Linked DNA regions of Macaca fascicularis. The protein of the gene in region 3 interacts with the protein of the main gene of each other region in a biochemical or structural test. Links are inferred from orthologs where the notes say so. Each region holds a gene or a part of one and is shown on either strand. Other genes may lie near its edges. The genes, in order: UBE2D1, MLANA, NEDD4, SCN5A, RAPGEF2, GABARAPL1 and NTRK1.

The links.
Region 1: the proteins of NEDD4 (region 3) and UBE2D1 form a complex in vitro, tested with the Homo sapiens proteins (14 studies listed by BioGRID). The link is inferred for Macaca fascicularis from reciprocal best matches to the Homo sapiens genes NEDD4 and UBE2D1.
Region 2: the proteins of NEDD4 (region 3) and MLANA form a complex in vitro, tested with the Homo sapiens proteins (2 studies listed by BioGRID and IntAct, with this or other methods). The link is inferred for Macaca fascicularis from reciprocal best matches to the Homo sapiens genes NEDD4 and MLANA.
Region 4: the proteins of NEDD4 (region 3) and SCN5A form a complex in vitro, tested with the Homo sapiens proteins (3 studies listed by BioGRID, with this or other methods). The link is inferred for Macaca fascicularis from reciprocal best matches to the Homo sapiens genes NEDD4 and SCN5A.
Region 5: the proteins of NEDD4 (region 3) and RAPGEF2 form a complex in vitro, tested with the Homo sapiens proteins (2 studies listed by BioGRID and IntAct). The link is inferred for Macaca fascicularis from reciprocal best matches to the Homo sapiens genes NEDD4 and RAPGEF2.
Region 6: the proteins of NEDD4 (region 3) and GABARAPL1 form a complex in vitro, tested with the Homo sapiens proteins (2 studies listed by BioGRID and IntAct). The link is inferred for Macaca fascicularis from reciprocal best matches to the Homo sapiens genes NEDD4 and GABARAPL1.
Region 7: of the proteins of NEDD4 (region 3) and NTRK1, one has a biochemical effect on the other in vitro, tested with the Homo sapiens proteins (3 studies listed by BioGRID, with this or other methods). The link is inferred for Macaca fascicularis from reciprocal best matches to the Homo sapiens genes NEDD4 and NTRK1.

The regions. Positions count from the first base shown.
Region 1 is NC_088383.1:88,326,482-88,330,498, forward strand, and holds the start of UBE2D1 (ubiquitin-conjugating enzyme E2 D1), read right to left. Parts: upstream 2,801-4,017; 5' UTR 2,605-2,800; coding exon 2,581-2,604; intron 1-2,580.
Region 2 is NC_088389.1:93,149,924-93,153,952, forward strand, and holds the start of MLANA (melanoma antigen recognized by T-cells 1), read right to left. Parts: upstream 2,801-4,029; 5' UTR 2,751-2,800; intron 1,240-2,750; 5' UTR 1,215-1,239; coding exon 1,138-1,214; intron 790-1,137; exon of another isoform or gene 1-789. UniProt on the Homo sapiens protein: Involved in melanosome biogenesis by ensuring the stability of GPR143. Plays a vital role in the expression, stability, trafficking, and processing of melanocyte protein PMEL, which is critical to the formation of stage II melanosomes.
Region 3 is NC_088381.1:32,300,887-32,304,386, forward strand, and holds part of NEDD4 (E3 ubiquitin-protein ligase NEDD4), read right to left. Parts: intron 3,388-3,500; coding exon 3,333-3,387; intron 3,243-3,332; coding exon 3,184-3,242; intron 1,865-3,183; coding exon 1,799-1,864; intron 1-1,798. UniProt on the Homo sapiens protein: E3 ubiquitin-protein ligase which accepts ubiquitin from an E2 ubiquitin-conjugating enzyme in the form of a thioester and then directly transfers the ubiquitin to targeted substrates. Specifically ubiquitinates 'Lys-63' in target proteins.
Region 4 is NC_088376.1:100,616,734-100,620,233, forward strand, and holds part of SCN5A (sodium channel protein type 5 subunit alpha), read right to left. Parts: intron 3,392-3,500; coding exon 3,250-3,391; intron 2,573-3,249; coding exon of another isoform or gene 2,569-2,572; coding exon 2,468-2,568; intron 1,392-2,467; coding exon 1,121-1,391; intron 1-1,120. UniProt on the Homo sapiens protein: Pore-forming subunit of Nav1.5, a voltage-gated sodium (Nav) channel that directly mediates the depolarizing phase of action potentials in excitable membranes.
Region 5 is NC_088379.1:164,243,166-164,246,665, reverse strand, and holds part of RAPGEF2 (rap guanine nucleotide exchange factor 2), read right to left. Parts: intron 3,076-3,500; coding exon 2,852-3,075; intron 1,407-2,851; coding exon 1,197-1,406; intron 1-1,196. UniProt on the Homo sapiens protein: Functions as a guanine nucleotide exchange factor (GEF), which activates Rap and Ras family of small GTPases by exchanging bound GDP for free GTP in a cAMP-dependent manner.
Region 6 is NC_088385.1:10,685,472-10,688,971, reverse strand, and holds part of GABARAPL1 (gamma-aminobutyric acid receptor-associated protein-like 1), read left to right. Parts: intron 1-1,035; coding exon 1,036-1,154; intron 1,155-2,362; coding exon 2,363-2,428; 3' UTR 2,429-3,500. UniProt on the Homo sapiens protein: Ubiquitin-like modifier that increases cell-surface expression of kappa-type opioid receptor through facilitating anterograde intracellular trafficking of the receptor. Involved in formation of autophagosomal vacuoles.
Region 7 is NC_088375.1:104,208,924-104,212,423, forward strand, and holds part of NTRK1 (high affinity nerve growth factor receptor), read right to left. Parts: intron 3,028-3,500; coding exon 2,953-3,027; intron 2,654-2,952; coding exon 2,582-2,653; intron 484-2,581; coding exon 415-483; intron 1-414. UniProt on the Homo sapiens protein: Receptor tyrosine kinase involved in the development and the maturation of the central and peripheral nervous systems through regulation of proliferation, differentiation and survival of sympathetic and nervous neurons.

The DNA.
Region 1 (4,017 bases), on a different chromosome or scaffold from region 3:
ACAGGCCAGAACATCAGTGGTTCTCAGTCTTCTTTCCACCCCAACCCATCTGAGGGATTCAACACCTCTCCATTTATAGAAGTGACGACAGTCTGAAAACGTCCCTCAGGTGATTCTAAGACACTACCCTAGAAGCTGTTCCCGTGCTGGTACCCTCTAGTACACTACGGCAGACTTATCTGAGGTTCCACACAGCTCTACAGTCTGCAACTTTAGGTACAGGAAAACTATAGTAACACTTCAATAGGAGCTTAGGAAGAAAGGCCAAAAGTTAGTATACATCTTCATTTGTTGGAACATGAAAGATTCAAATAAGAATGTCTATACTGATGACATCAAAGAAGAAGATGGTATAACTGTTCATATGGCAGGCGGCACAACTGACCTAGAATTGGCTTCTAATCAAGGAGGTAGATAAAGGAGGAGGAAAAATAGGGAATCAATCAAAATAATCACCCCTAAGGTTTGAGGAAACGGTCTGAATGTGTGATTAATGGAAAGACTTGTGTAAGTTAACTTGCCTGATATCAGAAAGGGAAGCCAAAGATGAACGCACAGAGATGTGATGGTATATGATCCCAATTTCTTCTCCAAAATATCGATTTGTCACATGTTTGATATCAATTCCATGTAAGTAATTTTTTTTTTCTGAACAACTCTATAAACTAATAACCAATAAATACTAAAAAGAAAAGATTTGGACACACACATTATAAATACAAATCAAATACACCAGTTCAGCATGGTGATTGACGAGAACTGCCAAGTATGGTATTTACAAACAATGTTCATATTTCTTTGAATATCCACTTACTGTGGACAAATTGCACAGCATTTAAACGCTATTGTTATAGTTGGGTATGGTGACTTGTGCCTGTAATCCCAGACTCTCTGGAGGACAGGAGTTCAAGACCAGCATGGGCAACATACTGAGATCCCCATCTCTTAAAAAAACACAGTGATAATTTAAAAAGCTCTTGTATGTGCAAAATCATGTGAAAAATTCTCACAACTAGGAAAGAAGGAAATAGAATTTGAAAACTTCCTTGGAAGATGTGCATTTTCTGATCCAAATGTGAACCAATATTACGTCGTCATTAATAAGTATGCAAGTTATGGTAAAGAGGCCGACTGAGGCTTCAAAATTAGGATATTTATATAAAACAACGTGTAACTGAACTATCTTCAAACAAGAAAACATTATAACTTAATAAATGCTGATGCTGATTGTTAACTGTATGTTTTACAATGAGACGACCTTTAAATGGGACAAAAAATAACAGGTGATCAACAGATTTAGAATTTGAAAATAAAAAACTGGCAGGCTCTAAAAGTTGCTGTCCTCTGTACCTAAAGATGCCACTAGTGGCTAGTCAGAATACAATGTGTACGTCACTATCACTCTCTAACATTTACTATTGCTATAATGGACTACTGGTCAAAAAAGTAGATAAAAATGTGGGCATTAATTTCTTCTGAAACAACTACAAAATACACTGACCATTGTTGCTTAACTTAGTGAAAAGCACTCCCTATTTAACAAACACATTCTCAATGTTCCCAGTGTGAACTGTAACTGTAAAACCTAAAACTTGGGTCAGTACACAGACCAACAAGAAATAAAAATGAACAGAAAGAAATGCCCGAATATCAATTCTGAAGGATGTTCGCTTCTGAAATGGTGGCAATAAATACTGTGAAAAAAAGACAATTCCACACACAGGGTTGAGATGGGTGAACAGTTGTTGGATGAAGATACATATTTCTTCCTCATTTTATACCCATGTGTCAAAGCATCAAAACAATCTATTTGCGACAGTTTATGTTGTGTCTCGAACTTTACATCTAAGTTTACCATGAGGGGCAAAAAAAACCTGTTTGGCTTGACTCACCGTGAATCACAGCCAGGAGGTCATCTTGTTGTGTATCAGCAACTATGTTTTCGCTACAGCTATGTGACCTGAAGTGGCAGCAGCAGAGGCACCAAAATAGAAGGGGCAGGAGCCTTCTCTTGGCTTCTTGGCCGCAAATGGGCTTTCCAGCCCATTCGGGCAACTGAGCAAGAGCCAACCGCAGAGGAGAAAGAACCAACCCGACAGCTCCGCGGAGAAAGGCTGCAGGCCCACCCCACCTTCCGTGCCCTCCCGGGGAGCCCGGGTAAGCAAGAACATAAAAGAGACAGGCTTAAGAAACAGCCTGGAGAAAACACAGCATGACAGGGGTCAAAACTAGCCTCATGGAGGGCAAAACCCAGCCGTGACCGTGAAGCACAGATTTCGGGGCGGTCTGGACGCGGAGGAGGCTCTCTACCCTGGGGCTCCGGGAGCGGCCCCGGCGCGAGCGCGCCACGGGCCCCCAGCCTTCAAGCTCCCCCGGCCGCCTGGGATCTGCCCCCGCTCCCACCTAACCTGTCCGGTGCCCGCTGGCCGGGCCCGAGCCTCCAGCTCCCTGCCCGCACCCCGGCCCACCCTTCCATCCCGTGCTCTCCCTGCATATCTCTCGGGACCACTGGCCGAGTCAGCGTGGGCAGGCGCCGCTGCCCTGCTGCCCCGCAGCCCCAGGCCCGGCCCCGGCACTCACTTTCTGAATCCGCTTCAGCGCCATGGATCAGGGATCGCGGTGGGGACACCGGCCGGCAGGGGTCGGCTGCGGGGCTCGGGGGCGTGAGTCTTCGCGAGTTGGGCTCGCTGGCAGCTCAGCTGGCTCCGCGCGGTGGGTCCCCGGTTCGCCGCTCCCTGGCTCGCTCCGGGCGCCGGTCCCTGCTCCGTCTGCGCCCGAGCGCGAGTGTGCGCGAGTGTGCGGGCGGGGAGGCCGGCGAGACTCTTTTGTTTCCGCTTTTGCTTCTGGGAAGGAGCCTGCGCCCTCCCCGCCGCGCCCCGCCCCGCCTGGCATACTGGGAAGTGTAGTTCCAGCCCTGTCCTCGGCCGCAGGCCCCCAGACGCTGCCAGGTTACTTGCTGCTGACCTTAGCCAGGCAGCTTAAGGTGAGAGCTGCCGGGTGCTGGAGTTAGTCTCTACAGTCTCATTTAGAGCAAGTTACTGAACCTGGGGCTGCGCATCTGTAAAATGGGGATAACAAATGAGCTCCTAACGCACATAAAGGAATTTCTAAATCATCAGTTAGTAATTCCTTATCCAATAGGTGCCACAGCTGGTTTTATTATATTTACCTTTAAATATTTCACTGTCTTTTCTCAAATATATGAATTATCTCAATTACTCACCCAGCACACATGCACAAACTCATATCTATCAGACCCCTTACTTACCTCCTTGGTTCTTACTGCAGAGGAAAAAGGTGTCTCTTCTGTCCAATGCACAGATCTTCCGTGTCTGAGTGCATTGTCTGCTCATAGGTATGCCCCTCCCATAAATTACCCGCTTCGAACACCGAGTTCAGAGCTCTCACTCCCATCGTTGACTCCTTCCCTTCCATTGACAGTCTCTGACTAATAGTCAACGCACACTCCCCACTCTCCAATTCCTGGGCACTTGTGTACCCATTAAAACTTGGCTTCTTGGCCGGGCACAGTGGCTCACGCCTGTAATCCTAGGGCTTTGGGAGGCTGAGGCGGGCAGATTACCTGAGGTTGGGAGTTCGAGACCAGACTGGCCAACATGGTGAAATCCCATCTCTACTAAAAATACAAAAATTACCTGGGCATGGTGGTGGGCGCCTGTAATCCCAGCTACTCAGGAGACTGAGGCAGGAGAACCGCTTAATCCCGGGAGGCGGAGGTTGCAGTGAGCTGAGATGGAGTCACTGCTCTCCAGCCTGGGCGACAGAGTAAGACTCTGTCTCAAAAAGGAAAAAAAAAAAAGTGAAAACATCAACAGATGTTGGTGATGCTGAGGAGAAAAGGTAACATTTATATGCTGTTAGTGGGAATGTAAATTAGTTCAGCCATCGTGGAAAACAGTTTGGAGATTTCTCAAAGAACTTACAACAAAACTACCATTTGACCCAGCAATCCCATTACTGGTTATATATGCAACTGAAAACAAATTATTCCACCAA
Region 2 (4,029 bases), on a different chromosome or scaffold from region 3:
AATACCATGGCCAATGGGCTCCCCTCCCTTAAAGAGTATATTTTTGCTCTCAGGACATTTTCTGAGAAGATACCGCTGCCCTCAACTCCAACTGGCCAGGGATATTAGAGGATCCTATACCAGGGTCTTCTGAGGAAATGCCGAATTCTTCCTCAGTACCTTTGTTGGGTCTTACATCTTGCTGGTCCCTGCGGTTGACTGTTAAAGATGGTTCAACAGCTCTTTCCAAAGAAAGAGCAGGTTCGCAGGGAGTTCTGGACAGACCACATAAGAGGGTATTGTCCTGTTGGAGTCCCACACAGAGGGTGGGGCCTCCCCTGCCCCCGCCGCCCAGCACGTACAGAGTATGCCCCTTTCCCACTCCCAGCACGTACAGAGTATGTCCCTTTCCCACTCCCAGCATGTACAGAGTATGTCCCTTTCCCACTCCCAGCACGTACAGAGTATGTCCCTGCAGCCTCTGGGTTTTCATCACCACACTTATATTTGCTGAAATTAATTTCATGCCTAACTCTCCCACTAGGTTGTGAGTTTTTTCAAAGATAAAAACAGTATCTCAGGCCAGTATACAATGCTTAGCATTTAGAAATGCTTAATCATATAAATAGTTATTTTTAATTCACTCATAATATCCAACACCTTTCCTTAGGATAAAGTTATGCTGCAAAGGCTGTGACTTCAGTCTTCCTCTCGAGTCTGGCTGTGGGCTGAGTCACATGCACCTGCCCATCATCCTCACTGGCTCCTTGGCAACTCACTTTTATTCTGTCTGCAAACCACCTTCAGGAGCTTGAGTGGAGGAGACAGAACAAGGATTGAGGAAAGAGGCATTGTGACTCTGAACAGATGTTTTTCCACTTGGGAACCTACAGATAAGGCCCAATAGTCAAAGTGCACCCAAAAATGGCAAGATCCAACCTTATACCATTCCCATCTTCCTGCCTATTTGGCCTCAGAGAAGCTTGACTGAGCCCCTTGTAGAAGCACAGAATCTCCTCCCCTTGTTGCCAGGGATGTTACTGTCTGGGGAGATAAACACTAGGGAGATTTATGAGCAGGCATGTGCTGGTGGAAGTCAGCAGGCTGTGTCAGCAAATGGCAAACTGGAAGCCCTGCTGGGTCTGGTTTTGAACTTACTCTTCAGCTGTGATGTAAGAGTGGCCGTGCCCCTTCTTGGGGTAACCATAGATGAAGTGAGCATCTTCTCTTGGCATCTTGTAGGGTCAGGGCACAGGACACCTAACAGAAGAAGCATGTGGGCATCATTAATGCATCCAAAGCCACCCTGTTCATCGTCTCATAAAGACCCACAACAGCATCCTTACTAGATGACCAATATCCACAGTCAGGACCCTTTGGTTTCTCTCTGTGAGGAGATTTGCACCTGCTTCTTTCATTGATATCAAGGGCTTTGACAATAGCTCAGGTTTCTAACCCCTCCTACTAACTAAAGTTCAAAGAAGAAACTACAAATGAAAGCAAAAAGACTCAGTTATTATTTGGTGAAAAAAATGTTCTTCATGTGCCTTCAATTTGACTCTGCACCATAAACTTCTAGAGAAACAAACAAACAATGCATTTTTACTGATTCTCCACCTTCCCTGGCCCAGGGCTGTGGCTAATAAAATAAGAGGAGTTATTTTTCTCCAAAGTTATTATTGGATATCAGTCCACAGACAGACAGAGGCTATGATACATAATGTATGTTTCCCAGAGCACCTGTTGCCTGTGCCTTGCGAGGGTGCATGAGGTTGAACGCTGAGCACAGCATCTTCCAGCCCAGCTTTTCAGCAAAGGAAACCACCCCACACAGGGGCTTCAGCTTGTCACCAGGCACTCCACCCAAAACAAGCTGAGGAAGCCCAGGACCTGACTTTATCTAACAATGTGTTTCCCTTTCTACTTAAGTCAATTTCTGCTTCTCTCTGATTCAAGTCCCTTGGCTAGCATTTTTTTTTTTTTAACTAGAACATATACAAATGAACAACAACAAAAACTGTCCATAAACTGCAGTGGCCGTAATTCAAGTATGCTCATTAAAAACCAATAATGGAAGCTCCTTTCCTTGTTATTGTGTATTTTTCTGCTCTCTTACTGTTCTCAGGAATTTCAAAGGTCTGATCCCCATAGAATTATATTAATGAGCTCCAGTTTAAAACAGCAGGGAGGGGTGGGAGAGAAGAGTGGGGATTTCACCACATGACCCCTTTCCACTGGGACATTTTATGTGTAATTTACCCTTCCCAGTTGTAAAAAAAGAAATTAAAGTCAAACTCACTGATCCTCTCAAGTAAATAATATAGGAGTGAACCCTGTGTTCAAAATGACAGAATGGAAACTTAATTCTTCATTAAATTGTTTTCATACATCCCATACCTCAAGCTCAGAACCTTGGCAAATGGTTTAGCAACAGCAAACGCGCCTCTTACTACTCAGACCAGAAGAAGTGGTTCTTTAAGTGACAGGAGAACACATCTACCTCAGGGAGGCTGCTTCTCCCCGGCAAGCTGCCATCCTGAATAATTGCTTTTCTTCTTGGTAGTCTTAGAGGACTGAGAGAGGATTCAGGAGGAGACTTTGTGAGCCCTCTGAAGTTGGAGACTGACAAACGTTGCAGAGAAATTCTGTTGACGTCACACATCAGTGGGGCAATGAGGGTAGGCAGAGGACTTCACCAGAATTTCCCAAATCCTATTCTGGGAGAAAAGGAGAAAAGGACTATGATTATAGCAAGAGGGCAATGCTCTTACCTTCCTGAATGAGAGAGTACTCCGTCCGCTGGCTGGCCGCATGTGTGAAGACTGCTTCTCTGGCTCTTAATCTTTTTGACTTATTTTTTTTCCTGGTCTTGAGTCCCATGATAGTCACAGGTTTAGATTTCTGAGAGGGTCGTCTGTAATTGCTTAATTGGCATGAAAGAAACCAACTTCATTCCTTCCTTCAAAAAGTCACAGCTGACTGCGGCCTCTGTTTTCCCCAGTCCCAGTGCTCTATCCTAGGGAAGCCATTTATTTTAAATGTTGGCCCCTCCTCCATAAGACTGCCACATCACATAAAATAAAGGATACCCAGTTAAATTTGAACTTCAGATAAACAATGAACAGTTTCTTAATACAACTATGTCCCATACAATATTTTTAGGATAAATATGTCCACATATTCTATGGGACATAAACTAAAAAAGTTATTTTTTGTTTGTCTGAAATCCACATTTGCTTTTTTCATGTCAGCTAGGTAAGGCGCCCATGTCATTGTAACACGGTTTGAGGGAGGCAGATCTCACACATGAACATGGAAACCTAATCATCACACGTATGAACCACAAAAGGATCTGAAATCCAAACTAAACTGGGTTTCCTATTCCCTCCCTCATCTTCATCTCAAAGGATTGAAGAGTCTTTAGGCTCAGGTCTGGAGAGCATCTAGTACCAGACTCTCATGATGAAGAAAAGGAAATAGAAAAATCCCTGAAACCTCCTCAGCTGAGCTCCATGAGTTCTCTGTGATGCCCTTGGAGTTAACTGTCCACTGGAGACAGTGAGTTTCCATGCATCTGCAAGGGATAGATGGAATTTTCTCTTTGCAGGTGGAATATGACCTACTTAGACATCTCTTAGGTTGGTGCAAAAGTAATTGTGGTTTCGGATCATGAATTTTAAATCATTATAACTAGGCTCAAACACATTTATTCATTTATTTATTTATTTATTTATTTATTTATTTATTTATTGAGATTGAGTCTCGCTTTGTCGCCCAGGCTGGAGTGCAGTGGTGGGGTCTCAGCTAACTGCAACCTCCGCTTCCCAGGTTCAAGCAATTCTCCTGCCTCAGCCTCCTGAGTAGTTGGGACCACAGATGTATGCCACCACGCCTGGCAAATTTTTGTATTTTTAGTAGAGACGGGGTTTCACCATGTTGGCCAGGATGGTCTTGATCTCCTGACCTCATGATCCACCTGCCTCAGCCTCCCAAAGTGCTGGGATTAGAGGTATGAGCCACCGCACCCAGCCTCAAATACATCTTTATTAA
Region 3 (3,500 bases):
TCATGTCTTTACCCTTTCTTTTATATGTTTATTCCTTTACCTACCTTTGTTGCATTCTGGGTAATTTCCATACAAATTAATTAATTTCTCTCTTAATTCTCTTAGTCACCAATATGATATGTCATGTTGCTTAGGAACATGGGATCTGGAGCTAGACCACTTAGCTTTTCTACTTAATAACCATGGGACTTGATCACATTACCTATTCTCTGTGCCTCAGTTTCCTCATCTGTGAAATGTAATAGTAGTCCCTTCCTTACAGAGTTATTGTAGACATTAAATGAATAACATATGTAAACTTCTAAGAAGAATGCCTGGTATGCAGTGAGAGATCAACAAATATAATTGCTTTTATCTTTTTTTTTTTTTTGTATTTTGTGGCCTGTAATGGCATTGCCTCCCATCTCCTGCCGCCTGGAAGACATTAACAATTAGATACTACAACATGTTTCAACCACTTAGAGTGGCAAATGGAGAAGCTAGTGCTTCTATTCCTCCAGCATATTCTCATTAAGAATGAAAATATTTACCAGAACAATGAATCAGCAAATATTTAAAATCCCAAAGTCTAGAAGTAGAAAACAAATTTCCAGGGAAATTTTGACACAATGTTATCTTTTCTTTTTTCTTTTTCTTTGAGACAGGGTCTCACTCTGTTGCCCAGGCTGGAGTGCAGTGAAGTGATCTGAGCTCACTGCAACCTCTGCCTACCTGGTTCAAGCGGTTCTCCTGCCTCAGCCTCCCGAGTAGCCAGGATTACAGGCGGGTAACATCACACCCAGCTAATTTTTGTATTTTTAGTAGAGACGGGGGTCTGACCGTGTTGGCCAGGCTGGTCTGGAACTCCTGACCTCAAGTGATCCACCCGCCTCAACCTCCCGAAGCGCTGGGATTACAGGTGTGAGCCACTGCGCCTGGCCCACAAAATTATCTTTAAAAATGAGTTTAGAAAGTTGATGATATTTAAGGATTTTATTAGGGCATAAAATGTTTACACTAAAAAAACTATCATGTTTTATTTTTGTTAAAAATCTGGGTGAAAATCGGAGGTAGCCGACCCACCATCTTGAATCTTTGTGAAAGCCAGCTTCTGGCTTAGAATGCAAGAAAGTATAACCCAATATGGCCACCTAGTGGTAGTATTCCTAAACTGCAGGCAGAGGAGGACAGGATGAGCAAGTAAGAGGCACTAAAACTAGCAGACACCAACAGAAATGAAATAGATGGCCAGATGATGAGTTTAGTTCCAAACATATTGCATTTGTGGTGATGGGAAAAAGTGTACTGAACATAACTGATAAGCATACGGAGACAAGTCACAAGAGCACAGTTCCACTCATGATTGTATTTTTAAATTATGCAGAGACATTACATTTGAAGGTGTAGAGAATGAATGACTACCGCTAGAAAACAACAAAGTCATAAAACAAATCCAGACTCCTCCAACAGAGTCAAAGACTATGCCAGAAGATAATTTCCTGAGCCACTCTTGCTCAGGTTCTACAAAGATCAAGCCCCATAAACCCCACAAGGATACATCAGGTTAGAGCTCTGGAAAGCAAACTTTAAATGCCATTTTTCTATATTATAAAATATCTTACAAAATAAAGACATAAAATAATCAGTGGTCTGTAGTGATATATCACAGCTACACAAAAAATAACCATCCTTTCTCTATGAAAAACTGTTCACTCAAAGTTGTTACAAATATAGAACAAATTATTACTTTAAACAAAATTTCCCATTACTTTCCATCTATATATTGATGACTCAAGTATTTATCACAAACATCACTAACCTGCTTCTTCAACTTTCTTCGGAAGAACTCATACTTTCTTTTGTAATCCCTGGAGTAGGGCACTGCCTTTAGTGGGAAATTTTGGAAAAATAAAGAAGTTTAGGTTGTTTTTATTCTGGAACAATTTTTAAAGTTCCCGGCAGGGTATTTTATGAACATAAGTTAAGGGCATGAAAAGAAAAATATTTGGAAAGAAAAGTTTAATTAGAAGAAAAACAAATACAAAACTTTAAAATATTTAATTTCTCTGTTTAAGACAAAATTATATTCAGCAATTCCTATGGCTGTAATTTTCATTATGCAATATTCTCAAAATGCAGCATGCCAGAAATAGGAAATTTCTTCCAGGTAGAGAAATACTAGAAACAAAAATTTCCATTTCTAAAGAGACTTTCAAAGTGATTTCTCCATTAAACAGGCAATGTGAAAAGCGTACTTTTTCCTTGAACTCCAAGGAATTGCCTTTTTGAGCCATTAAAGGACTACATGTTGAGATAGTAAATAGTAATTAAAAAAAAGGTATCTTCAGTTTTATTTTTATGAATTACAAAACAAAATCTGAATAAAATGGAAGAAGCAGCTATAAAAAAGGATAATAATTTTCCTATCTGACTACAGTTATCATATATGGTATATTTGTACTTAAGTGTGGATGTGTCTTACATACTGGGCATTTACAATGATTTCTTTTTCTTTTTTTTGAGATGGAGTCTCGCTCTGTCACCCAGGCTAGAATGTGGTGGTGCAATCTCTCAGTTCACCGCAACCTCCGCCTCCTGGGTTCAGGTGATTCTCCTGCCTTGGCCTCCCAAGTAGCTGGGACTACAGGTGTCTGCTACCATGCCTAACTAATATTTTTTGCATTTTTAGTAGAGACAGGGTTTCACCATATTGGCCAGGCCAGTCTTGAACTCCTGACCTCAGGTGATCCACCTGCCTTGGCCTCCCCCAAAGTGCTGGGATTACAGGTGTGAGCCTGGCCTGATTTCTATAAAAAAATTTAAGAATGACCCTGGAGTGGATAGGGTGCTGCTGCTTCCTCATCTGGATACACTCTCTGCTCCTCTCTGATTTGTGGAGGACTGTCAACATTCTTGTTCAGACAGTGGCAGGCACCCACCTGAGCTCAGCAGCCCACACTGCCTTAGCATTCCGACTGTCTGGCTCACCTGTCTCCCACTGCTATTGCATAGGGTAAAGATAATGACGTCATAGAATCTTTTCAAATAACTGAGACTTGGAGTATGGGAAATGGGGGAGAGGAGACAGAATGGCCAATGTGCTTTCCTCTCAATGCCTGTAGGGTTATGCCCTTGAGTATCTGCTTTTGAAGAGACAGGTGAGGGGACAGTCCCATCAGAGCACATCAGCACAGAGAGACTTACTGGTCCAGTTATTGCTACATTCTGCAACCGAGGATCTTCCCATTGTGTTCTTTTTATATCTGAAGGGAAGAAAAAGAAAAATGGTGTACTTTCTCACAGATAAAATTTATTACAAAAAATAACATAACGAAAAATCGCATTGCACATACTGTGATTTATGTAGAAGATTCTTCCATCTGTGTGAGTTCTCTCTTCCCATCCTGGCTATAATGAAGAATGTATTTCAATTATGTTAGGATAGGGTTTTAGATGAATGGATAGAAAAACAGCACTGGTTGTATGGTTAACTTGCATATTCCATTCGATTCTTAGAAGGT
Region 4 (3,500 bases), on a different chromosome or scaffold from region 3:
TGAATAGAGATTTCTCCAAGGAAGATATATAAATGACCAACACACACATGGAAAGATGTCCTGCATCGTTAGTCATCAGTCATTTGGTTTTGCAAATCAAAACCTCAAGGAGATATCACTTCACACCCACTAGGAGGGCTCCCATAAAAAGAATGCAGGCAATAACAAGTGTTGGTGAGGGCGAAATAATCGGAATCCTCATACATTGACAGTAAGAATGTAAAAAGGTGCAGCCAAATTGAAAAACAGTTTGGTGGTCCCTCAAAATTTTAGATAAGAGGCTTTCAGGGGCTGAGGGAGAGGGGAAATGAATGGGGAGTGACTATTAAATGGGTAGAGTTTCCTTTGGGGAAAGGAAAATATTCTAAAATTAGATAGTGGTGATGGTTGCAAAGCTCTGTGCATATACTAAAAAACACTGAAATGTATACTTTAAAGTGACTTTAAAGTTAACCATGAATTTTATGGCATGTGAATTATGTCTCAGGAAAGCTGTCATATAAAAAAAAAGATCTGAGCTCTGAGGTCAAACAGACATGGGTCAGGATTGGGTCTCTGCTTCTCCCTAGCTGTACAATCTCCCTCCTTTAGTGCTGAATTGACTGGGTGAATTGCATGAGGCAGGTATGTCTGAAAGAGTCTGGCATACACCTTGGCGGTTAGCTCCAGAATTTTCCATCTTCAGGGATAACTTCTACTCTGGAGGGCCACCTACTCCCCATCCTTGGGGACCCACCTCATCCTTAGTGAGCTTCCTTCTCCTTCAACCTAAGTGCGGGCAGAACTAGCCTCCACAGCACCCACTCCCATTCCCAGACTCATCCTTGAAGCTATCTAAGCAGTTAGAGAACTGTGTTCCCAGGTCCTCTGGAGGGTGGGGCCAGGAGGGAGTGCTGGGTCCTCTGCCAGGTTGGTCTCCTTGACCCAAGTGGACCCTTCCAGATAAGTTCTCTCTGGAGAGGTGTGTGTGTGCATGTATGTATGAGGGGAGGGGGGTGAGAAATGCACTGAAAAAAGAATGAAAGAACCTAGGGTTGTACGTGGCATTCAGCAGAGACTCAGGGGCCGGACGAGAGGCCTGGCTGGGGAGGGCTTCTGTCCAGCTGACTTGTATACCCACCCACGATGGAGAGGATGACAACCACGAAGTCGAAGATATTCCAGCTGTTGGTGAAGTAATAGTGGCGCAGGGCAGCCAGCTTGACAATACACTCGCCTGTGAAGATGGCCACAAAGAGCAGGTTGATCTTGGCCAAGATGTTGATTTTCTCAGGACTTTGGTCATCTGTCTCCACCATCATGGTCACCATATTCAAGCAGATCAGAAACATGATGGTGACATCAAAGGCCTGCTTGGTCACAATGTCGAATATGAAGCCCTGGTACTTGTTCTGAAAGGAGAGGCAAATGGAAAGCGCTCAGCAGGGCCCTTGGGAGGCTGGCAAATGCCCGTTTCTGCCTCTCATCCCAGGCCACCCACCCTCCCACTCTCCCTCTAGTGAGCCCAAAACCCCTGCCACACTGCCACAGAGAGTGCAGAGGAAAAACTCCTGGAGGTTAAAGCCATTGGCTCTCCTGCTGAAATGCTTCCTGGGCTTCAAGGCCCAGCTCCAAGGCTCCATCTTCCATGAGGACTTCCATGATGGATCTTCAGGGGGAGATTTTTCCTGCCCTGAGCATCCTTAGCATACTGTTCACTGTGCTTCCCTTTCAGTTGCCACAGTCTGAAGGCTCAAGGGTAAATTTCAACTTCAACCCTAGTAATTATGTCAGTGCTTAGATTAATATATTTTCTCTACTTTTTAATGTAATTTATTTATTGTACTAACCATATTTACATGTGTCTTTAATTGTAAATCAGCCCAGATTATTTGGGGAAATAAATAAGATTTTTTATATATATATATATACACATTTTTTTTTCTGTTCTCCCACTTAGAAAATATTATAAACAAACACACACACACACACACACACACACACACACACACACACACACACACACATTTTTTTGGATAATGGCTTGATTGGGCCAAGGGAGTCAGTCTTTGAGAGGACCCCACTCTCCAGAGCTCTTGGCTCTCCCCACCAGCTAACTCAGGAATCCGGCTCCCTGACTGTTCTGGGGGTCCAAGGATGAGGCTCTGAGTGGGGTGGGGTGGGGCTGTGAAGGCTGCCCTGCTTTTCCCGAGGAAAGCCTGCATCCTTGAGGGGAAGGAGGAGACCTGCTCAGAGACAGAGGGTTCCTGTGGGAGGAGAGTGTCCCGGGATGCTACATCCTTCTCATACCTTCCTCCCTATCTGTATGAGGCTGGGACCTCTCTTCATGCTCAGACATCTGATAGCGTCCCTCAGGCTGGGCTGAAAGACTGTGAGGTGGCCCTGATGGCTGGCCGTGTGGCATGAAAGCTTCCCAGGGACCCCAGAAGATCCTCCCCACTCCCACAGAACCAGGAGCTTAGCTCACCAAGGGCCGTGGGATGGGCTTCTGGGGCTTCTTGGAGCCCAGCTTCTTCATGGCATTGTAGTACTTCTTCTGCTCCTCTGTCATGAAGATGTCCTGGCCCCCTAAGTGCAGAGAGAAGGCACCAACCTCATTCTGGGGTTCTCAGAGGCCCCAGCATGGAGGGCACCAGGATCTTGCCTCCTTGATGAGGATGCCAGGGTCAACCACCTCCTGGCTTCCTCTCCTGGACAAAATATGTCCCTATTTTGCACCACAGATTCTTCCCCAAATCTATTTATCCAGGAGCCCTGTCCCCTTTCACCTTGAGATCTCTCTGGCTTTATGACCTGCAAATCCAGTATCCACCCCCCGCCCTTTCCCCCTCCTAGCTCAACCAGCCTTCATGTTCTCTCTGTTCACTTAGTTTGTCTACAACCCAGTTATAGCCGCTCTGATGAAGCTCTGGGAAGACCCAGGGCCTCTGCACAGGCTTTACCCATGACCTCTGATCATGGACCAGGTGAACAGATGCAGCTCTCACACCAGCTTCTCCCAGGAGTCTCATCTCTCAGGTGGATTAGGGCAGACATGGGGCCTCCCACCAAAGCCCCTTCTTATGTTCTTACAGGCCTAGACATGTTACATCCCTGGACACACCCTTCTCCCCACCTCATTCCAGCAGCAGCAAGAAGAGAACCATCCCCAGCAGGGAAGGTGAGATGGGGCCCGGAGCCCGAATGGCCCCTCAATCCCCTGGCACCCAGCCCTGCTCTGCCCAGCCCAGCGGGGAGCTGGTGCTCTACATATCTTTTTCTTCTGTTGGTTGAAGTTGTCAATGATGACACCGATAAAGAGGTTCAGGGTGAAGAAAGACCCGAAGATGATGAAAATGACAAAATAGATGTACATGTAGAGGTTGTATTCCCACTGGGGCTGCTCTTCATACTGTGAGGGAGAAATCACACAGGGAGATCAGACAGGCTGGGGTCTCGGGGGTCACATGGGGAGGGGTGGGGGGTGGAGGCAGAGGGCTGGCTAGGGGCATCCATTCTGT
Region 5 (3,500 bases), on a different chromosome or scaffold from region 3:
ATAATTCAATGTGTTTGTGATGAGGGGATCAACACAAATATTTGAAAGGAGAAACGTATCAAGGAAAGGTGTTCTTTTCTTACTCTCCCCCCCAATATCAATAAAGAGGACATTTGCTGATCAGATGTGAGGTGAGGACAGAGAACATGTGAGAGGTCTATGAAATAAATGACTCTCACCCCAGCCATACAGATGGGCTGTAACTGTGCAGGGACGTAGCTATCAACACCCAATGTTATCTAAGTAAACTCTTTCCCTTCTATCTATCTATTGATCGATCGATCGACAGAGTCTTGCTCTGTCGCCCAGGTTGGAGTGCAATGATGCAATCTCGGCTCACTACAATTTCCACCCCCCAGGTTCAAGCAATTCTTGTGCCTTAGCTTCCCAGGTAGCTAGGACTGCAGGCATGCACCATCATGCCCAGCTACGTTTTGTATTTTTCGTAAAGACGGGGTTTTGCCACGTTGGGCAAGTTGGTCTCTAACTCCTGGCCTCAAGTGATCCACCTGCCTCAGCCTCCTGAAGTGCTGGGATTACAGGCGTGAGCTACCGCGCCCACCCTACTGTCCCTTTATTTTTAATAATTTATTTTTTATCAATTATTTCATTCACATATACGTAGAAAAAAACAAGCTGTGCATTTTATGAAAAATTATTGTGTTGTACCACTTCCACAAAGGGGCTAAACTACTAGATGTTTTTCTTTTCGTAGGAAAGATAAAGTGTAATTTAACTCCTCCATACTCAGGAGTTAGTTGCTTTATTTTTCCCCCTAAGCTATAGAATCAGTGAGTCAACAAATAAGAATTTACCTTCAGACAATTCATTTAACTTAAAAATATTCTGCTTAAATCCCAGCAGTTCGTTGGTTGTAAGGCAAAACCAGTTTAAATAATGTAAATGAACAAAGCATCTTCTGCACTCAGCAAAAATTAAATGGACACATAACTCTCTATTAACACCCTGTCGTAGCAAATTAGCGTGATTAAATGAGATATTACTTATAAAAACAACCCCTTCCATTGGCAAAGTCAGGTTTAACTTGCTCAATGTTCAGGTTTTATTAGGAGCTAATAATTAACACAGAAACTCAAATATATTAGACAAAGTTATCCAAGACAAATATTTTTTTCCTAATTTGCAAACCATGAGAGTGAATGGCACCAAAAAAAGAAACGAATGTAATCACTTACCAAAAGGTGGGAGATCCTTTACGGGCACTTTCTTCCGTGAAGGATAAAGGGACACGGCGGGAACCTGCAGTCCCTGGTTGATTTTATGTGCTGGTGGTGGCTGCTGCTGGGGCTGTGGCAGGGACTGAGCTTTCTGCTGTGACCCTGCCCTTGGAGCTACCGGAGAGGTCTCGGATTTGACAGGCTTTTTGTCACCAGGATTCTTAGGCACTGGTAATTGTTTGGGTTTGAAAATAGAACAAAGAATTTTAGATGCTAGTAGCTATGTAGAAGATAATTTTAGAACTGTGTGAGCATTTTCTGCAGTTAGAATACTAAAAGGCACACCTTTCGTCCTGCTGCCTTTATGAAGCACAGAAATGGATATGGGGGACCCTAGTTACAGAAAATATTAGGTATGTGGCAGGACAAAGGTATCTACTTTATGAAGTCAGCAATCTCAAAAGATGATTATACTATTAAACACCCCATTACAAATATAGAAAAATGTGGGTAGTTCAATATGTTATATCCATGTATATGAAAGACACAAATACATGATAAAAACTACAACAGACAAGTCATCAGACACTATTTTTCTAAAATGGTGTTCCAAATTGGTTGACAAGTATATGCACTAAGTTTTTATTTAATAAATGCTGCCAACTGCAATCTATTTACTACCACATTCCTAGGAGGTAGAATTATCTATGCAAGCAAACAGTAGCCAAAAATGCTTGAGTATTATACTGAGTATATATTTTGTGGTAGATAAATGGCAAAGCAATTTAGGACAATTAAATATTGTGCATGTAGTATCTTAATATGCAAAACTCAATGACATATGTATGCTTCCTCCCTTATACACACCTGGAAGCTAAGGATTAGGGAGGTCAAGTAACTTGCCTAAGGCTGCATTGCTAGTAAGAGGAGGCAAACAGGATTTGAACTCAGACCACTCTGACTCCAGAGGACAAGCTCTTCACCATGACACAGTGCTTCTACAGTGTCCTGGGTAAATCTAATAATCCAAATCTTCTCAAATCACCTATCTAAACTAAATCCTATAGCAGACATCTTCAAATCTGCACATAAAAGACACAGGAGTGTATTGAATGGAAAATGCCTTTGTCAAGATGCAGATTTAGAAAAAAAAAACTGCCCCATTTATAGACTAACCCGATTTTTAATGGCTATTGTAGTTCATTGTGGAGCAGAATTATTGCTCTAACTGGTAGGTGAATTTCTTGTTGGGTGTTGTCTGGGCTAGTGGTTAAAAGGCAGCCAGCACACTCAACTTCATGCCCCAACTCCCCTCAGGGTGCCCATAATTTGGGGGCACCTTTCTGAGAACACAAGACACATAATTGGGAGCCATATCTACATATGCGCCCCTTGCATGTGTACTGGCTGTGTCCAGGTGAAACTAAAGCAACGGGTTGCCCTAGATGTGGACAGTGTCATCCTCCACACACTAACCCAGCTGACCTGAGGGCCTGGCCGCGCACAGTGCTATCCAGTATTCAATATTAGCATTCAAGGGAAGGACTAGTATATCTCATGATTGCCAGCTCCCCCTCTGCACTAAGCCTTATTTTGTCACTGCCCATATCACTGTACAGGAAACAAATCTGCATTCTAGCCAAAGTCGGCAGCCACTTTAAGGAAAAACTCACATGTGTTGGTTGCTGGCTCACACTGCAGAGATAATGTCTGAAGACTCTCCTCGTCCATTTCTAGCTCCAAATTGGAAAGGTACTGCTTCACTTTTCGAGCCATTTGGGCATCTTCATAAAGCTTTTTGGCATTGAGAAAGGAACTACGACGTACCCGCTTTTTATGACCACCTGTCTGAGCAACATCTAGCACTGTTGCGTTTGTACTACCCTGGCTGAGAGACCTGGAAGATGAAAAGGTAGATATGCAGCTCACTCTAGCATGGGAGTACTTTATCTATTTAAAACGTGCCAAGACTGATATTAATATTCTATGTTCAAAAGGTCACATGCTTCATTCCAGTGAGTAAACTGTTACACAGGAATATAGAATAATATAGATTAAAAAAATTTAGTTAAAAGAAAATTATACATAATATACATATAAAAATATATGTTTGGCACCTGTTCAGTTCGAACTAGGAAATTCTACTTTTCACCTCTATAGAGCATTTAAGGCAGTTCTCTCACAGATGCCAGAAAATAATAATTACATATAAAAGCTCATGCAAGAATACACAGCTATAATCATTAAGATTTGCAACATTAAGATTACTTCCCCTAAAGAGGATATTATATATATATTTAAATAAAATTAACTACAATGTTC
Region 6 (3,500 bases), on a different chromosome or scaffold from region 3:
GGGAGGCGGAAGTGGGCAGATCACCTGAGGTCAGGAGTTTGAGACCAGACTGGCAAACATGGTGAAACCCTGTCTTCATTAAAAATACAGAAATTAGCTGGATGTGGTGACGGGCGCCTGTAATCTCAGCTACTTAGGAGGCTGAGGCTGGAGAATTGCTTGAACCTTGGAGGCAGAGATTGCAGTGAGCCGATATTGTGCCATTGCGCTCCAGCCTGGGTGACACGGTGACGCTCCGCCTCAAAAAAAAAAAAAAAAAAAAAATTCAGCTTTGTTAATTGTGATGTCAATTTGTTCCAAAAAGAAAACCAGTCTGGTTTCTTGAGAGGATTATGCTTTAGAGTTTCCTGATTACATCTTCTTAAGCTACATTTTTTTAAAAATAAGTTTTGTAGATTTTGTTTGGGATTATAAGACATATATTCAGTCTTCATCTTGAGCCTTAATGGAATACACACTGCATCCAGGAGACACTGGAAAGATTTTGTTGATTTGCTTCAGAGTTAATAGGTTTGAATATCAGCCATCTAGAAAGTTTTCAGTATTCTCAGGTAAAGGCAAAGCACTGAACCTTATTTAATGCCCCAACACTGAGTTGAGTGACTGTGCTAAGATGACCAGTGTCCAGTGGACCCCTTTCATTGCTAAGCTTTTCTTAGGGTGGGTCTGGGGATGGAAAGTGTTTCAAGTCGGGTTTAGACAATGATGGGAATGTTTTGGTCTGGATGCACGTGGTATTCCTTCAGTGTAGTCCTCAGGCTTTGAGTGGATATGCTAACATGAGGTCTGAGATTGAATAAGAGAGGAAAGGAGGAATAAAGTCCACTATGGCATATCAGGGACTGTACGGGCTTCTGAGTTTCCCTTTTTATTTTGAAAGCTCCAGGATAGTATTTGGCTCTTCTCAGGTGGTATATAAAACTGGTACTGACTCTAAGGGGAAAAAAATGCAACTGAATTTTTTTCCAGGACTTACCATTCTACTAATTCCTTGTTTTCTTCCTTTCTTGTCTGCCTTTTTCTTCCATCATCCAGTTGGCCAGTTCTACTTCTTAATCCGGAAGAGAATCCACCTGAGACCTGAGGACGCCTTATTCTTCTTTGTCAACAACACTATCCCTCCCACCAGTGCTACCATGGGCCAACTGTATGAGGTAATGGTTCTAGCCGAACAATACTGGATGCCGTCCAGGGCAGTCTGGCATCCTCTAGCTCTTGTTCTAGTATATGTTGATAACACAACTGAGAAGTGGGGCAGAAGGTGTTATTTATCCGGATCCTCTTACATATGGCAGTGTAAGGCTCTGAGAGATTAGATACCACTTGTTTTTCAGGGATTAGGCACTCTACTAGATTTAATCCTTTTGAAATCTCTTCTCAGTCTTGTCTGACTATAGTGTTTAATGTGGGATTGTTTATTGAAACAGCAGGAAGTGACTCCTGATAGCAAAAGTTCCAAAGCATCAGCCCATCGCAGTTCCTGCTCTTCTTGTTGGTAGCCTGTAATTTGTAATGCATTCAGAATCCAGTTCATTATTTTACTCCCATTTAGCAATAGATTGAGAAAGCACATAATAGTAAAGCCAGCTTCTAACTCTGAGGCCAGCCTCCGCTACAGTCAGCTTCCTCTGTGAACTCTGAAGTTTTGGCTTGAGACAAACACATTGATCTAAACAGGGGGAAACTTCTTCTTAGAACAAAACGAAAACTGTGAAACAGATTCCACATTATCTGGGCACAATGAATCAGATCAAATGAAATATAAAATTAAGGCAAAGTCTGTAAATGGATTCATTTGTCTTAACAGATAAACTGAGGAGGAATACTTTTTATGTGATTTTGTTTAATTGGAAGTGTCAGAATTTGGAGAAACTATAGTAAAGGACTTTATTATTACTAAAAATATAACCTAGGATTGTAACTATTATTTTTTGCAGTATTTTGCATAAGACGCTTCCTTCTCATTATGCCCTATTAATGGATTACATAAATTTATAATAATCCTGAATCTAACTTTTATTGCATAGCATATATTCCCTGTTAGTATCTGCCCCTTATATATCCCATCTGTGGTATCTATGTTCCCCTTGCTAGGACTGAGCTCTTTAAGAGTGAGTACTGTGCCCCAGTCATCTTCATATCCCTGATACCTATGTGTAATATGTTTTCAGTGAAGGATTTTTGTTTGTGAACTCAGAGCTCAAAGTGTAATTCCAACCACATCTCCTGATTCTTTGCTCCCCTTTTAAATGGGGATGAACGATACCTTCCATACCTGCTTTACAAGGTTGTGTGAGGCTTAGCATCTTACAGCTAATGAATGAATATGTTTTCTAAACTGTTGTCTTATCTCTTCCCCTAGGACAATCATGAGGAAGACTATTTTCTGTATGTGGCCTACAGTGATGAGAGTGTCTATGGGAAATGAGTGGTTGGAAGCCCAGCAGATGGGAGCACCTGGACTTGGGGGTAGGGGAGGGGTGTGCGTGCGACTTGGGGAAAGAGGGTGACTCCCACCGCGAGGAGACAGAAGGTGAAGACATCTAGAAACATTACACCGCACACACCGTCATCATATTTTCACATGCTCAATTGATATTTTTTGCTGCTTCCTCGGCCCAGGGAGAAAGCATGTCAGGACAGAGCTGTTGGATTGGCTTTGGTAGAGGAATACGGATGATGTAATTTCACAGCATTCCTGAGATTTAATTTTTGTGCAGTTTCATAGAAGGGTCAGGAGGTGGACAAGTTGGGGCCAGAGATGATGGTAGTCCAGCAGCAACTCCCTGTGCTCCCTTCTCTTTGGGCAGCGATTCTATTTTTGACATTTGCACAGGACAGGTAGGGAAAGGGGACTTGTGGTAGTGGACCATACCTGGGGACCAAAAGAGACCCACTGTAATTGATGCATTGTGGCCCCTGTTCTTTCCTGTCTCACACTTCTTTTCTCCCATCCCAGTTGCAGTCTCACTCAAACATCACAGTACCACCCCAGGGGTGGCAGTAGACCACAACCCAGAAATTTAGACAGCGATCTCTTACCTTTGGAAAATAGGGGTTAGACATAAAGGTGGTTATGATTAAGAAGATTGTTTTGTTATTAAATAGCATTAAACTGGAATTGACAAGACTATTGAGCATCTCTGTCTAACCTGTTCTTTCTCTCTGGTGCCCCTTATCTCACCCCTACCTTGGAATTTAAGTCTCAGGCATTTCCAGTTGTAGACTAAAACCACTCTTAGCATCTCCTCTAGTATTTTCCATGTATCAGGACAGAGATGTCTTATGTAGGGAGGGAGCAAGTGTGAAGTAAGGTAATTATATACACCTCTCATTCAGGATTCTTGCTCCCATGCTGCTGTCCCTTCAGGCTCACACGCACAGGAATGCTATGTGATGGCCAGCTGCTTCCCTCCTTGGTTATCATCCACTGCAGCTGCTAGTTAGAAAGGTTTGGAGGGATGACTTTTAGTAAATCATGGGGATTTTATTGATTTATT
Region 7 (3,500 bases), on a different chromosome or scaffold from region 3:
CAAGGGCTCTCAGCATGGTGACAAGGAGGGAAAGGCACAGCCTCCCAGAGTGACCCAGAGGCCTTAAGTGCCCACCAGGTACACATGAACCCCTGCGCCCCACTCACCCCTGTGCAAGGTGCCCTGGGAATGTTGCCAGATGTGCCGTGGACACACAGTGGGCCTGGGATCTGCTCAGCCAGGCCCAGCACACACACAGTCATCCAGGCCAGCTCCCCAGGGCAGTAGCCCCCTTAACGGGTGGTCCTGCAGCCCCTGCTTTGATGGGGGTTTCACTGGCATGCACATAGTCCCCAAAGAGACCCCCCCAGCAGTGCCACACAGACACAGTGACCCAATGCCATCCCACAGACCCAAGTGCACGCAGGCACACACACACTTGGTGCTCTTGTCCCTGGAAGTGCCCCCACTCACAGTTCCTGTAAGGAGAGGCCCTGCACAGTTTTCCAGGAGAGAGACTCCAGAGCATTGAAGGAGAGATTCCTACGGGCATGGAGACACAGCAAGACAGACCCCTTGAGTGACCCGACCTCACTCTGACCCAGAGTGAGGGAGGGGAGGAGCCGAGAAAGAAGTTGACATCTGGCTCCCCCTCCCCAGTCTAGGCAGCCAGAACAAGCCTTGGAAGGCAGTGTGTGTGGATGGATGGGGGGGCGTGGTGGAGGGCTTTTTGAGTCCCACTCCTTTCCCTGGGACAACAAGGGTTAACCCTACTTAGCCACCTCTCCAGACCCCAGGGAGGGGGATCTGAGGGAACAGCCGCTCCTCCCTCCCCCACTGCTTTGGCCCCAGCTGGCAAAGTGCTGAGGCCACAGCTGGGGGAAGGGCTCCATCTGTGCTCCCCTCCCCACAGAGCCCAGGACGGGGCCAGAGGAAGAGGGGGAGGATTGAGGTTGCCACACTCCCTTGACCCTACCTGACCACAAGGAACTCAACGCACTTCCTCAGTTCCCCTCCACCTCCTCCTTTCAGGCCCTCCTCAGTGACTAAAAGGTCAGGCAGGAAAGGACCCACACCCCCAGCCCCCTCGTTGTAGGGGTGGAAAAAGTGAGCCCAGCGGGGGCCTGGCCACACCGGAAAATGATGTAGGAGCCCCAGTGCCCTGTGCCCTTTGTCAGGCTGCTGCTGCTGGGACCCTCTGCCTCTGAGGGGCCTATCCTGACCCCTCTCTTTTCCTAGTCAACCTAGAATTTGTGGTGGCTGGGTTGGAGAGGTACCACCACATAGGGACCAAAGACACAACCCACTCTAGAGCCAGATAGAGCGGGTGTAAGTTCTATCCTGCCACTTACAGCTGTGTGACCTCAGTCCAGAAACTCAACCTCTCTGATTCTCAGAATTCTCATCTATGAAATGGGGACAAGAACACTCTCTCTCTCACCAGGTTGATTGTGAAGATTCATTGACATAAGTACCGTGAAGTGTCATTGAACACGTTTTTAACGGAAGCCCCGGTGCATAGATGGTGATACGACATCACTTTATTTTGCCTTGTTAAATTGCTGGACACAGCAGAGTGTAGAGGACCCCGCATAACTCCATGAATGTCGGCCCCACCATCCTTCCCATCTCTCCGCCTGCTCATGTTGGGGGACAGGGGAGCTGAACTCCCACCCTCGGAAGGCCAGGGAGGGGCTGCCAGGGACTCTGATGGTCCCTCCTGCCCATCCCATGACCCTCTGTGTCCTACAGCAGGGGTCCTCAATTCTCAGGCCACAGATGGGAAAATAGTGCCACTGTTCTCCAGCCTGAGCAACAGAGGGAGACCCTGACTCTTAAAAAATAAATTAAAGAAAAAGAGGGGGACAGCAAGGAAGAGGGGCTATAAACAGGGTAAATATGTGGTCTGTTAGGAACCCGGCCGCATAGCGTGAGGTGAGCAGCAGTGAGTGAGCATTACCGCCTGAGCTCCGCCTCCTGTCACATCAACAGCAGCATTAGATTCTGTGAACTACTGCGCATGCGAGGGATCTAGGTTGTGCGCTCCTTTTGAGAACTAACTAATGCCTCATAATCTGAGGTGGAACAGTTTCATCCTGAAATCATCCTCCCCTCCCGCACCATCTGTGGTAAAATTGTCTTCCATGAAACCAGTCTCTGGTGCCAAAAAAGTTGGGGTCCGCTGCTCTACAGGAGGGATAGCTATGACTCCCGAGAATGAGGAGGGTGACAAGTGGCAGACCTAACACCCCAGCTCCCAGGATGTCCTAGGAGCCAAGTCAATGCGTCCCTGGGAAATGGAGTCCCAGCCAGAACACAGGAGTCCTGCTCCTGACGCTTGCTCCCTTTGCACTGGTGTGTATCTGAGCCCTGGGAAGAAAGATGGGGCGGGCACCTATGAGAAGTATCCTTGCAGCATGGACCATGGAAGTGAGATGGCAAGGAGGACCTCTAGCTGGCGGGGGCAAGAGCATGCCATCCCTGAGGGAGATGGGAGGAAGCCCCAGGAGAGTGGGTGAGGTGACTTCCCTGACCAGGCTTGGGCCCCTCGCAATCATTCCCCGGGGAGAGCCAAGCCCATTAGCAGTGCAAGTCTGGGTGTCCTCCCCAATCCCCACTGCCCAGCACTGGCCACACTCACAGGCGACTGAGCCGAGGAGTGAAATGGAAGGCATCTGGCGCCACGAAACGGAGACCACTCTTCACGATGGTGCTGGGGAGGGGTGCAGGAGGATCAGTCCCCAGGTCTCAGCTACTCTGGGCCCCTGGCCCTCCCTGCCCATCCCAGCCTCCCAGTCCCCTGTGCTGAACTCCTACCCCTCCTCGGGCCCCTCATTGTTTCTTCAGCTACCCTAGACCCCTCAAAGCCCTGAGCTTCCTGACCTCTCCCAGTCCCTCAGTCCTCAGCCTCTCAGGTCCTCCCAGGGCCTCAGACCCTTGAGCCCTCCCTGACCTTCTGGTCTCCCCCAGGCCCACGCTGAGCTCCACACCCACAGTCCCCATTTTCCTCACAGGTTTCTCAGCTCCCCCAGGCCCCTCAGGTCACGGAGCTCCAGATGCTGCAGATGCTGCTGGTTCTCGATGTAGCTGTGGGGAGAGGGGATGGGAGTCACAGGGCTCAGGCCCACACTTGAGTTCCCATGTCGACCCTCCTGCTCCCTCACAAGACACAGGCACATGCCACATGCACATCACAGGCACACGCATATGCACCTGTTCAGACCTGCATACACACTTACATGGCATGCACATACGAATGCATACATATGCACATGCATGTGTGTGCATGAACACACAAGCGCACACATGTATAGATCCCCAGACACTCACACATATGCACACTCTCACATACCTCTTGCACACATGCACACACCCAGTATGCACATGCACACACGCAGAGGCATAAGCATCTGCACAGATGACGCCATGCACATGCACATGTGCCTTCAGGAAGAGGCTCACACATGGACACACAGAAACAAAGCTCACATCCATCTCTCACGTGCACACACATAAGTCCATTCTCACATTGTTGTTCTGCTTTTATATCAGGCATGCCT